2 linked regions of the Tribolium castaneum genome follow. The main gene of each other region encodes a partner of the protein of the gene in region 2 in a complex. Links are inferred from orthologs where the notes say so. Each region holds a gene or a part of one and is shown on either strand. Other genes may lie near its edges.

Region 1 (5,748 bases), on a different chromosome or scaffold from region 2:
TGCGCCTGTTTTTGTAAAAATAAAGTTTTCAAAAGCGGAAGATGTCTCGGAAATTAAAATTTTGTAAACACATAACTCTCCAACCTGTTGGCAGTGGGCGTCGTATTTTTATATATGATTTACATAATGCGTTTTACGTATAAGCGTCGCGACGTCGATAACATTTTATAGCACTTTACTTGCATGTTGTGTGAATTGAAGTTAAGTGCATTAATAATGCACAACTAAAACAACATTATTCAATACTTTATCGTCAATAGCGAGTCCGTTAACTAAATTAAAATTAGATAACTGCAGCCACGAGAGCCAAAATGACACCTGCTTAGATTAATTTACAAAGTTCATGGAGCAATGAGCCTCTTTTTTAAATATACAGTTATACATACAAATTAAGTACGGCTTAATTTTAAAAATGGAAAAAATATAAAAACTAGCCTTGTAATTACCAGTTAGTAATTACTGTACTCTGAGCAACAATATTATGACAAAAATCTCGAAATAAAAATAATAATTAAACGTAGTTAAATAGATAAAATTTTGCAGTGTTCATATGACTGGATTATGTAATCAAGAATAACCCGAAAAAATTCTCATTTAGTGCCGTACCTTCCTAGGTACTCATCTTAATTAATCCGTTTAAAAAAAGCATAATTAGTAAAATACTTTTACTAATGAATTAATTACATCAATTTAAAAAAAATGTTTTAAAAAATGGCTTAGTTGATCACACAAACAAAATTGGTAGCAAAATTATTATGTAGAACGAAGTCTTAAAAATTGTATTAAGATTTAATCTTAAGTACAAATAGACACTGTTTTATAAAAAGAATTGGCTTATCTAATAATTTAAGGTATTTCCGTTAATTTAATTGATAGAGATTTAATGCAAACACAAATACAGCATGTAATTCGTGACTTAGGCAAATTTTATTAATATGTCTCAAAGTTTACACTTTTGAGTAACATTTTTTTATTGCGTCTTCACTTTTATTTTGGCCAATTTTATTTGTTGTGTTAATCAGTCACAGTATGTTTAAAATTCCAAAGTAGAGAGTTTGTATAAAAAAATGTTATACACTAATAAAAACAAAAGTTGGAAAGTATTCTTCCGGCTTTTAAATTAATCTAAATAATAACTACAAAGTGTTCCAAGACATACAAATACTTTTAAATTAAGTCACTCAGAAAATGTACATTTTTTATGTACATTATATTACATAATGTCCTGTTGTACAAGAGTTTATAATCACTGACAATAAGTATTCGTTGAGCAGTATATAACCCTGAGAAAAAAATTGAATAGGGATTATTTACTTACCCACAGCTTCTTTCAATAGTGTTACACACTTCACATGCCCCGCTTTTTCAGCCAGATCGAGAGCACTCATTCCATTCGCATCCAGAATTTGAATATCTGAATCATGCTGCAGTAAAATTGAGACATTACTGTTATGCCCATGTTCGGCACTTAAATGCAAAGGAATCTAAAACGAGAGCAATTATTTTCCTACAACTGCTAAAATTAATTAAAAACAAACCTTCTGGTCGCCTCTTGGGCCGCACCGAATGTTAGGATCGGCCCCTGCATTTAGTAAAATTGTCAAACACCCTGAATTATCATTAATAGCAGCTGCATGTAGGGGGGTTCTCCCCCAACTGTCCTGCGAGTTCAGGAAGGCCTGTTGGCCCCCTTCTAGCAAGTCCATGAGTAAATGTGTGTTGTCCCATAACGCGGCCTTAAAACAACAATCAAATTTTGCAAATTAACTAGTTAAAGGAACGAACCTGGTGTAGGAGCCGGCCTGGAAAATCTTCGTCTTCAGGCGAAGAATCCAACATTGTGGCGATCGATAACGCTCCCAACACCTACATTACACAAACGCGGAAACTAACACAATTTCGTGCAAAAACCGCGAAGCGTTTCAACGATAATAATTTCGCAACGATTGAGAAATACAAAAATGTCCTTATTTTGACTGCTGGATTAGAGGTTAGTTTAATTGTCGCAACGACAAGCAACCTAACAACGCCAAAAGCCACCCCTTGCACCCACTTTTCGAACGGGCTCTAGGGAAATTTCTGTTTGGTGAGTTACCGAGCCAGGTTACTCTTGTTTTGTTTGGCGGGTTGCCTAAAAGTTGTTCCTGCATTCTTGAAATATTTTCTTTTATTGGTCTGGACGGAAGTGTAAAATGTTCTAAAGTGGTAACAAACGGCTAAATATAATACTTTCTGCCGATTTCTAGTAAGTAGAGGTGTTGGTTTGTAAAGTTTTAAAGTTGGGGGGGCCCAATAGAACAATGAATGAAGCTGCTGCTCTGCCCCATGGACCCCCAATGAACATTCTGCCACCGACACCAGCAGGTTTGGAGTCTTTGTACACGCTATGTAGGAAAATTTACCCCGATCAAGCCAACCCCCTTCAAGTCACGGCCCTCATCAAGTACTGGCAAGTGATTTTTGCAATAAAATTACATAATTCGTTTAATTTAACGTACATGTAATTATTTTGGCAATTGCCGGGCTTATAATTGTGCGAAATTTCCATTAAATTAAAATTTGACTCAGGTTCTATTTATAGTCACTTCCTGTTTTTTCTGTCTGCTTCCCTTGTATGTAAACAGGGGAGCTGACCTATTTTATTTTTAAACGAGGGGATACTTTTTTATAGGCTGGGAGGGCCCGATCCTTTAGATTACATATCAATGTATGCAAATCCAGGCATTCCACAAGAAAACATTCCTCCACATTGGCACTACATAAGGTAGCAATCTTTTAAGTGAAATATTTAATAAACGAAAATTTTAGTTTTGGTCTCTCAGACCTTCACGGTGACGGGCGAGTGCACGACGTGTCAGGAGCTAATGGTGTTTCAGGTTTTGGTTTTGAGCTAACATTTAGGCTAAAACGGGAGCCTGAAGAGACGGCACCGCCCACCTGGCCCGCAACTTTAATGCAATCTTTAGCGAAATACGTTTTTCAGTCAGGCAACACTCTTTGTGCTGGTGACCACGTTTCCTGGCACTGCGCGTTAGATAGCAGCGAGTCACGAATACAGCACATGTTGATGACCACAGACGTGCATTTGAAGTCAATACAGACGCCTTTTGGTTCTGTCGATTTCGTCCAAATTGTTGGTATTTGCGCCGAGGAGCTGAAAGCAGCCCAGCAGTGGAACGGGGCCGGGGTGCTTGATATGATAACTAGAATACCGTCGTAAATCGCACCACCAATCACGTTTTCGTAAAACTTAAGTCTGGGTTTTAGTGCTGGGGGGCCTTGGTTTATCACGGATATGAGGCGAGGGGAGAGCATTTTTGAGCTTGATTTAAACGCGCACGAGGAAGTCGAGCGAGGGTTTGAGTTAGAGGGCTCCAATTTGAGCGGAGTCAGCGCTAGGTGTTCATGGGTTGAGCAAGACCCTGCTCGTATTGACATAATGCATTTGAAAGAAAAGTCCGATTGTGACAATTTCCAAGCTCAAGAGGACGTAACTCTGTTAAATTCACCTCAAAAACCGCTACAGAGTGGCAACTTTGAACAAAACCGCTCCAGTAGCACCAATTTCAAAATGGACGAGTCAACTGAGTTGTTGCACATAAAGAAATTAGAGGGCGTCCATTTGGTTTTTAATTTGGAGGCTGGGAGTTTACTCCCTTTGGCCATCAGGTGAGGGAATTTTACGTGTTGGTGTTGTTTCTATTTTTTATTTTTGAAAAGGGGGCGCGTACGACATGGTAGACATTTCACATTTAAGTCAGTTTTGGGTGAAACTGCCATAACACTAGTGGCAGGTACGGTTACAGGGACGTTGGTGAACTCAGAACACCCTTATGTAGCTCAGGGTTCATGGCTACAAATACTTATTACCGACGATTTAGCTCAGGATATGGCGGTTACTTTTCAAGTTCTGGCCACTCCAGAGGCGCTTTCTTTACCAAAAACATTCTCATGGCCCGACAAAAAGTTATCTGTGACTATTGTAGCGGACAAGTTATAGTATTTACAGTTATCTCATTAATCATAATAAGACTAAAATAGGTTTAATTTAGCCTTAGTCTCACGAAATAATCAAAAGCAATATGTAGGCATATTTCTTATCTTAGGTTTACTCAATTAATTTATTACATTATTTATTATTACCTAACTTAAATAGAACAACCCCCCATATGCTATACATATCGGATTTAAAGTACAAAAAGTAACCCATATTATGTACCATAGACCTGTAAACTGTCCCACTTGATTCTAAACGAATAAAGATGCTTTCTTTTGAATTAGGTTTTTTATTTTTATACCATGCTTTCTAATTTTTTTATCGAAATGGCCTGTGAAATTAAGTCGTTTGATTTACTTCATACGCGCTATCAGTCGTGACGTCACCTCCCCACTCTTATTACGGTAGGTCAGTTGCTCAAAGCTAAACAACCAGTCTTTTACATGTGGTGTAATACGTTTTTCGGTTTTTTGGTTGTGTTTGTGCGTTAATAACGTGTCAAATAGCTGCAGCGGGTGTAATTTGTGCCACTAGAGACTTTAATTTAATTTAGAAGTGACTTTTTGTGAAAATACGAACTTTATAAAAGAATACAGGGAACCACGTTGTCGGTGAGAAAGTGAGTAAGCTTTAATTATACTTTGAGAAACTATTATATTTATGCATTTTAGTGGCAGAAAAGCACATTGTTAAGTTTCACTTTATTGCGAAATTTTTTGGGGACGGTAATCGCTTTTTAGTTCGGGGAGAAAATGCTTTTACCAGCGGTCACGTCACCAAATTTAGGTTTGATGGCACAGTACAACCGATGAGAATTTCTGCAGAAGTTCTACCGAGCATGAAAAAGCTAAATTATACTGTGGAGGTTTGTATTTATTTAACTGTTAGACATTTCTTCTACAAAGTGTGTTTTAGATTTCATATGACCTAGAAGAAGGGGTTAAGACGGCACATTGTACCTGCCCAAGGGGCAACGTGGCTTGCCATCATATGGCTGCAGCATTATATTATGCTCATTATAATGTAAGTGCTACTGACATTGAGTGTCAGTGGAGTGCCCCATCAAAAACAACACCACAAACAGAAGTCATTAAGTTAGCTGATGTTTACAAGCCGAAATTATCAAACTATACGGCACTGTCTAGGTCCTCTACTGAGGACGAAATTATTCAGTTCCGTGCCGAAATAGGCGTCACGAATGTGGTGGGCTTCACTTGGCTCCTAAGACCAGAAGCAAGTGAAGAAGCCAGAAAAATTATTGCAGATATCGAAGAAATTCTACAAAGCTTAGAATACGTGCAGGCCATAGACAAACAAAAGTTTCTTTTGGAGAAGTGCAGAATAGATGAGGCACGCATTAAACTGGTTGAGGCGTGCACTCGGGGCCAACATGTTAACGAAAATTGGCATGTAGCAAGGAAACATCGTTTAACGGCCAGCAGGTTTGGCATGGTACTATCTGCTTGCAGTAGACGAAGATTCCCACCCTCTTTATTTAAAAATTTGGCGGAAGGCTATTCGCTTGACAGGGTTGCTGCTGTGCAGTGGGGTAAGACCCACGAGAAGACAGCGCTCAGAGAATTTGAAGAAGCGACGAATCTTAAAGTCCAAGAGACGGGATTTTGGTAGGTCGAAAATAATTAACACGTATAACTTAGATGAATAATGTAATATTACTTTTTTTTGTAGGTTGGAAGAATCAGGCTTTTTGGGAGCAAGTCCTGATGGATTAGTGGAAGAAGATGGGATTC
Region 2 (5,899 bases):
ACAGTATTTTTTCTACTGCGCACTTTTTGTACCAAAAAAATTAATTTCGAAATTTAGGGAATTAAAAAAAGATTAGAAAACGGTTTTCTTCAAATGGAATGACCATGTTTTTTCAATGGTAGTCAAAAGAACATCAATTTTTATGCAGACTTTTATTAACATCTTCTATATCTATCTCTTACAGTTAAAAACTGAATTTTAGCTCATTATTTTCATTTTTAATCAAGTAAACTTTCGATATGAAAAAATTGTGCTATTAATTAAAAAAAATGTTCGATTTGTTTACCATTTTCATTCAGGAAGTTCAAAATGCCATGCCAGACTGATTGAGTTACCTTACATAATTCACTAAGTTATAATAAACCATAATTAAATGTTAATAGTTTTACTGCTTGTTCGATAATAAACCAGCAAAAAACTAAAAAAAATATTGAAGTTTAACATTATTGTTGACCATTTTGCAAGGTCTACTTGATTAACTATCAAAATTATGAAGTAAAATCTCTTTTTTGTGATTTTGTTCAAAAACAGTAAGAGATAGGAAAGAAAAATTGATAGAGAAAATAAGAAAATAATAAATAACTAATAAAGACCAATAAAGAATAATGAAAGAATAAAAAATTGAAAAAAATGTGGCCGCAGAAGACAGTATTGAAAATAGAAAGAAAGGAAGATAAAAAACTATTAAAAAATAGAAAAATATTATACTCCATTAGATATTACGATACGCAAATCGCGTATCGTAATGACCTCAGTAGTTACACAACTTTTGACTCACTTGATTATATCCTTGAGTATGGAAGACAAGGCAGCCCCCTCGAAATTTATCATAAAAACAGTTGCGGGACAATTTCTAGATAAACAGGAGAAGCAAATGTCGTCAAAGTCGATTTTATAAATCTTGAAAGTTTTTTTTGTAATATTACCGCCATCGTTTTGTTTACATTTATTTAGAGGTTAGATTTTCTGCACGAAGTCATTTTCATTTAACACGACATGATTGTAACAATTTATTATAAAACTGGTCGTTTTAACGTAAAAATACACATAAAAATCAAGCTCTTGTCACTCTAGGTCCACTCATCATTTTTTCTCTAATAGCCCACCTCAAGTCGGTTCTGTTGTCTTCACCTGGAATTTTTTGTCGCTTCCAACACTTTTGATATTGGTGGTAGAGTGCGACAGGGTCACTCTTATTAATATTTGTTTGAATTCCCGGTCTTATGACTACAAGCTTAAACGTAAAAAAACTTACAAACACTTTAAAATACTTACAGGAACTTTTAGGTTTGCTAGAATTAATCATTTTTTTCCAAGGCACATCTTTAACGGGCACAAAGTCAAGCGTGTCTTCTTGACCCTTTTCAGGGGCTGTTTGTGCCTCCAACGTGTTTTCGTGACAATGGTGTTGTGGTCCTTTACTTGTCTTGATTTTTAACGAAATTACACTTTCTTTCTTTGAAACTGTTTTGGCTCTTGAAGAGTGAGTCCCTTGTGAATGTAAAACTAGAAACACATCATCTTTATTTTTTTCGTTTTCGTTCGGCACATCTGTTTCATTTCCAAGGCTTTGTTTGCTTCTCTTGCGTTCTTCATACTTTATCAATTTTTTCAAGTCTGAAAACCAAACTTTTGTTCAATTAAAGTAACAAAAAATGACTCACCAACCGTAAACAAATTCTTTCAATTGTTGTGGGTTAATGTTGTGATAACCCAAGTCATTTAAATACGCTAATACTTCCCTAGGGCTTATTTTTGTGGTCATTTTTAAGAAAAAAAATAAGAAAACGTTGAAACAAAACCTTAAATTTCTAGGCAACATACGAAAATCAAATTCCCTAAAAGTGGGGACATAAAATAAGTGTTACAAAACCTCGCAGTTGGTTAATTTCACAATAACGTTGATTTTATTAAACACTGCTAATCACAAAATCATTTTTATCAACAAAATTGGTATTTCTTTGCAAAAAATTGCTTTCCACCCAGTCAGTTACTTTCACGAGGGTTGGTGTCCCTGCCTGTCAGCGTGACAAACATCTGATTGTCAAAAAAATGTCACGCGGAAGTGTAAGTAAACAAAAACAATCCTCTCCAAGTGTAAAAAATGATATGGACAAGTATGAAGTTATTAAATTATTGGGCGAAGGATCGTTTGGACGAGTTTACAAAGCGAAAGTAATCGCAGATTCATCTTTTGTTGCCTTAAAAGTTATCTGTAAAGTGAGTTAAAAACTGAGGCTCGAACTCGTTCAAATTTATTTCATTTAGGGTCGAAGATCGAACAAGGAAATAATTGGTCTACGAAGGGAATGTGAAATTCAAAGACATTTGCATCATCCCAATATTATACAAATGCTTGATTCGTTTGAAACTCCAAATGAGGTGAGACAATTTTTCCCAAGTTCTTTTCGTTTTTTAAACAGATTTTCAATGTACCGTACAAATGTTAGGCAACCAACACCAAATCTGGTGATTTTCGTGTTAATTTGGTGAAAACTGTATAAACATTTTGTTTAGTGATTTTAGAAAAATGCTTTTTATACAAACAATCACATTTACAAAAATTTTGATTCACTGTTCAACGTCTGTTGTTATTTTTATTTAAGTATGATTTAACAAATTAAATGGGATAGTAGAGACAAGATGGAGTTTATTTTTTTTTTAATAAATAAAAAACCAATGTAAATTAGTCTGCTATCCCAGTAATGATTTAAATCATACTTAAATTTACAAAAATTGTAAAAAGTTGTGGTGACACCAGAAATCTAACAGTATTCCTCCAACATATGTTAAATTATTTTTATGTTTAATTATTTGTAGAATTTGTGTTCGCAATGAAATTACATTTTTTCATGTTATTTTTTATTATTTTTTCAGTTTTCTTTTATTTTCGTATCGTTTAACTGCTTGTCTCATAATTTTTTCTTTCTATCTTCGTTTAATTTTGTGTGTTTTCTTTTATGCCTTTTTTGCATTTTTTTATTTTGTTTTTTTTTAATTTTGTGGGTTTATTTCTCCTGCGACATTATTCTATTCGTTGCTTTAGCATTTCTTTTTCATATTACCATTGCTTTACTTTTTGTTTTTTTTTACCTTTTGCTATATTTCTTTCATATTATATTGTCTTCAGTTTATGGCTTCGTCTTTTGTAGTTTGTCGTTTGTGGTTTATTCTGTTCTTTTTTTTCTATTCTACCGAGTGCTCAAAAACCGACGCACCAACTTATTGGAATATGGTAGAGAATTGCTTACATATAACGGTAAAATTAGTAAAAAAATTCTTTGTATTAAAATTATTGATAAATAATTATATTAATTATATTATATATAATATATATATATATATATATTATAAATATATATATATATTATAAAAAATATATATAATTATAAATATTAATTATATTTAATTAGATGATATGTGGCAACGTTGTCTAACAGTGATGATCGCAATAGAACTTAATCAACAATAAAAATAAATTATTTTTGAAACGGTTTCCTAAGTAATAATTCCCAATGTTGACACATCTACAAATTGTGATTTTTTTGACGAATTTTATTTTTTTTAATTAAAAAATCTGCTAAAGTCTGATAGGAAATTTAAAAATAATTATTCATTGTTGTGTTAGGGAACGATTACTTAGTGTGAAACATAAAACTATTAAAAAATAATGAAAACTGAAGAAGTTTACAAAATAAGTTTGTAGCTCCATATTTTTTAAAATATGACATTAGGAATTTTTTCAAGATTTTTTCCGTGATCTACACATGCTTCTCAACAGCGTACCACTGAGTTGGTGCGCCAGTTTTTGAGCATCCTGTATAGTTCTATACAGTTTTATTCTATTCTATATAGTTTTTTCTTAATCATCCTTTTTTTACATTTTCAATAATGTTTTTTGAGGCCATCTTTTCCAATTTTTTATTTTTTTATTTAAAATTTAGATTTTTTGTCTTTATTGGTTATTCTTTATTTTCTTATTTTCTCTTTCAAGTAATTTCGTAAAACAATTTTTATTTCCTTGTACTGTTTTTTCCTTATTATTTTTGCCTATTATCTATTAATGATCTTGTTGCTAAATTAAATTGTTGTAATCAGTTGATCAGACGATCTAAAAATTTTTGTTTGAAACACCAAATAAAGAGAGACAATTTTTCCTTATATTTTACTAAGTTCTTTTCGTTTTTTAAACAAAGATTTTCAATATAGTGTATAAATGTTAGGCAACCAACACCAAATCTTGTGATTTTCGTGTTAATTTGATGAAAACTGTGCAAAAATTTTGTTTGGTGATTTTAGAAAAATGCTTTTTATACCAACAATCACATTTACAAAAAATTGTATTCACTGTTCAACGTCTGTTGTTATTTTTATTTAAGTATGATTTAATAAATTAAATGGGATAGCAGAGACAAGATGCAGTTAATTTTTTTATATAAATAAAAAATCAAAGTAAATTGCTCCTTGTCGGCTATTCTAGTAGTGAATCAAATTATCCTTAAATTTACAAAAATTGAAAAATAATGTTTGTGAATTACGCAGGACTGAGTTGTGGTGACACCAGAAATCTAACACAATTTGAAATCAGGAAACCAGTTACAATCTGAGTATTCCCCCAACATATTTAAAATTATTTTTATGTTTAATTATTTGTAGAATTTTTGTTCGCAATGAAGTTATTATTTTTTCAGTTTTCTTCTATTTTCGTATCGTTTGACTGCTTGTCTCACCATTTTTTTCCTTCTGTCTGTTAAGTGAAGGGGGCGCTGCTGTTGAAATTGGCGGGAAATGATGACGCGTGAGGCGCGTACGGGCAACGCCTAGTTAGTTGGAAGGACACTGTGGAAGTGTCAATGTCGTTGTTGAATCTAATTTGCTAATAAATTAGTTTTTGGGTGAATTCCGAGTTTCATTTACAGAGCAGCGGTAGGATATTGCTCAAATAATCGTTTCCGATAGAGAGTGGTGAATTGTGGTGATTTTGTGAGGAATTTGTGGGTCGCCAAGGCAAGGGCCAAAAATTGAAGTTTTGGGAATCTGTACCGTTTCATTCGTAACAAAATTGTGTTTTACTACTTGAAATCGAACAAATCAATCGGGTGCTAGCCGAATTTATCTGATTTTTCTGATTTCTGACGAGTTCTAGGAGTTACGCAACCACACGCTGTCAATTTTCATTTGGGTGTGGCTCAAAAGGCGCGAAAAGTTTTCTGATGAGATTTTCGCAATGGGGCGTCACAGGTACCGAGGAAATGTGGACTCGGACGACTCGGACTCAAGTGACGATGAGCCACGGCCGAAAAGGTCCGCGCCTGGGGTCTCCACTACAGTAAATTCACCCCCAGTTTCGGCCGAGTCCGCTAGAATCGCGAGACTTGAGCAACTTGTGGAAAACTTGAATCGACGTTTGCTAAACCGCAATTTTGAGCACACATCAGGACAAGTTGGCATTAAAAGTGACCTGATTCCTGAATTCGCTCCAGGAAACCCCAATTTTAGTACCACTAAGTGGTTGCATAAAATTGACCAGTTGGCTCTCGTGAACGGTTGGGACGAACGTACAACGATTTACGGCATGATAAGTCGACTCAAGGGGTTGGCCAAGGAGTGGTACGACAATCTCGATCCCTCAGCATACGACCGGAGCTGGGATGAATGGAAACGTTTGTTACAAGCCACCTTCCCCGATCACCACGATTATGCTTCCACACTTCGTAAGCTAGTGAATAGGGTGAAGGAAGATGGTGAAACCTGGGCACAATATTATTTTGGGAAATTAAATCTGTTGCAGGCTTGTGACATAACAGGAACGAATGCAGTCTCCTGTCTTATTGATGGAATCACTGACGTGACTCTCAGAAATGGGGCTAGAGCAGGGCGTTACGTTACACCCGAAAGC

Evidence for each region. Proteins that work in one complex are often made in the same cells at the same time.
Region 1: the proteins of fu (region 2) and Su(fu) are in contact, whole or in part, in a crystal structure (PDB 6LPH), measured with the Drosophila melanogaster proteins. The link is inferred for Tribolium castaneum from reciprocal best matches to the Drosophila melanogaster genes fu and Su(fu). Residues at the interface, in NP_477499.1 of Drosophila melanogaster: Phe371, Val372, Ser373, Asn375, Ser376, Asn377, Met378, Ile379, Leu380, Asn381, His382, Met383, Asn384, Asn386, Phe387; in NP_536750.2 of Drosophila melanogaster: Leu18, Ile22, Pro33, Asn34, Pro35, Leu36, Gln37, Val38, Thr39, Thr40, Leu41, Leu42, Asp50, Tyr54, Met57, Arg127, Thr130, Trp131, Ala133, Asn134, Gln137.

Annotation. Positions count from the first base shown.
Region 1 is NC_087397.1:4,507,752-4,513,499, forward strand, and holds Su(fu) (suppressor of fused homolog), read left to right. Parts: upstream 1-2,054; 5' UTR 2,055-2,300; coding exon 2,301-2,449; intron 2,450-2,671; coding exon 2,672-2,764; intron 2,765-2,808; coding exon 2,809-3,216; intron 3,217-3,267; coding exon 3,268-3,669; intron 3,670-3,720; coding exon 3,721-4,000; 3' UTR 4,001-4,277; downstream 4,278-5,748. Other genes in the region: Lrrk (leucine-rich repeat serine/threonine-protein kinase 1), read right to left, coding at 1,319-1,484, 1,539-1,736, 1,786-1,839; uncharacterized protein LOC107399185, read left to right, coding at 4,616-4,616, 4,669-4,862, 4,913-5,622, 5,687-5,748.
Region 2 is NC_087395.1:1,159,843-1,165,741, reverse strand, and holds the start of fu (serine/threonine-protein kinase fused), read left to right. Parts: upstream 1-2,052; coding exon 2,053-2,220; intron 2,221-2,268; coding exon 2,269-2,382; intron 2,383-5,899. Other genes in the region: centriolar and ciliogenesis-associated protein HYLS1, read right to left, coding at 1,055-1,227, 1,276-1,617, 1,669-1,822. UniProt on the Drosophila melanogaster protein: Probable serine/threonine-protein kinase; maternally required for correct patterning in the posterior part of each embryonic metamere. May be involved in control of cell division during metamorphosis and ovarian development. May interact with costal-2.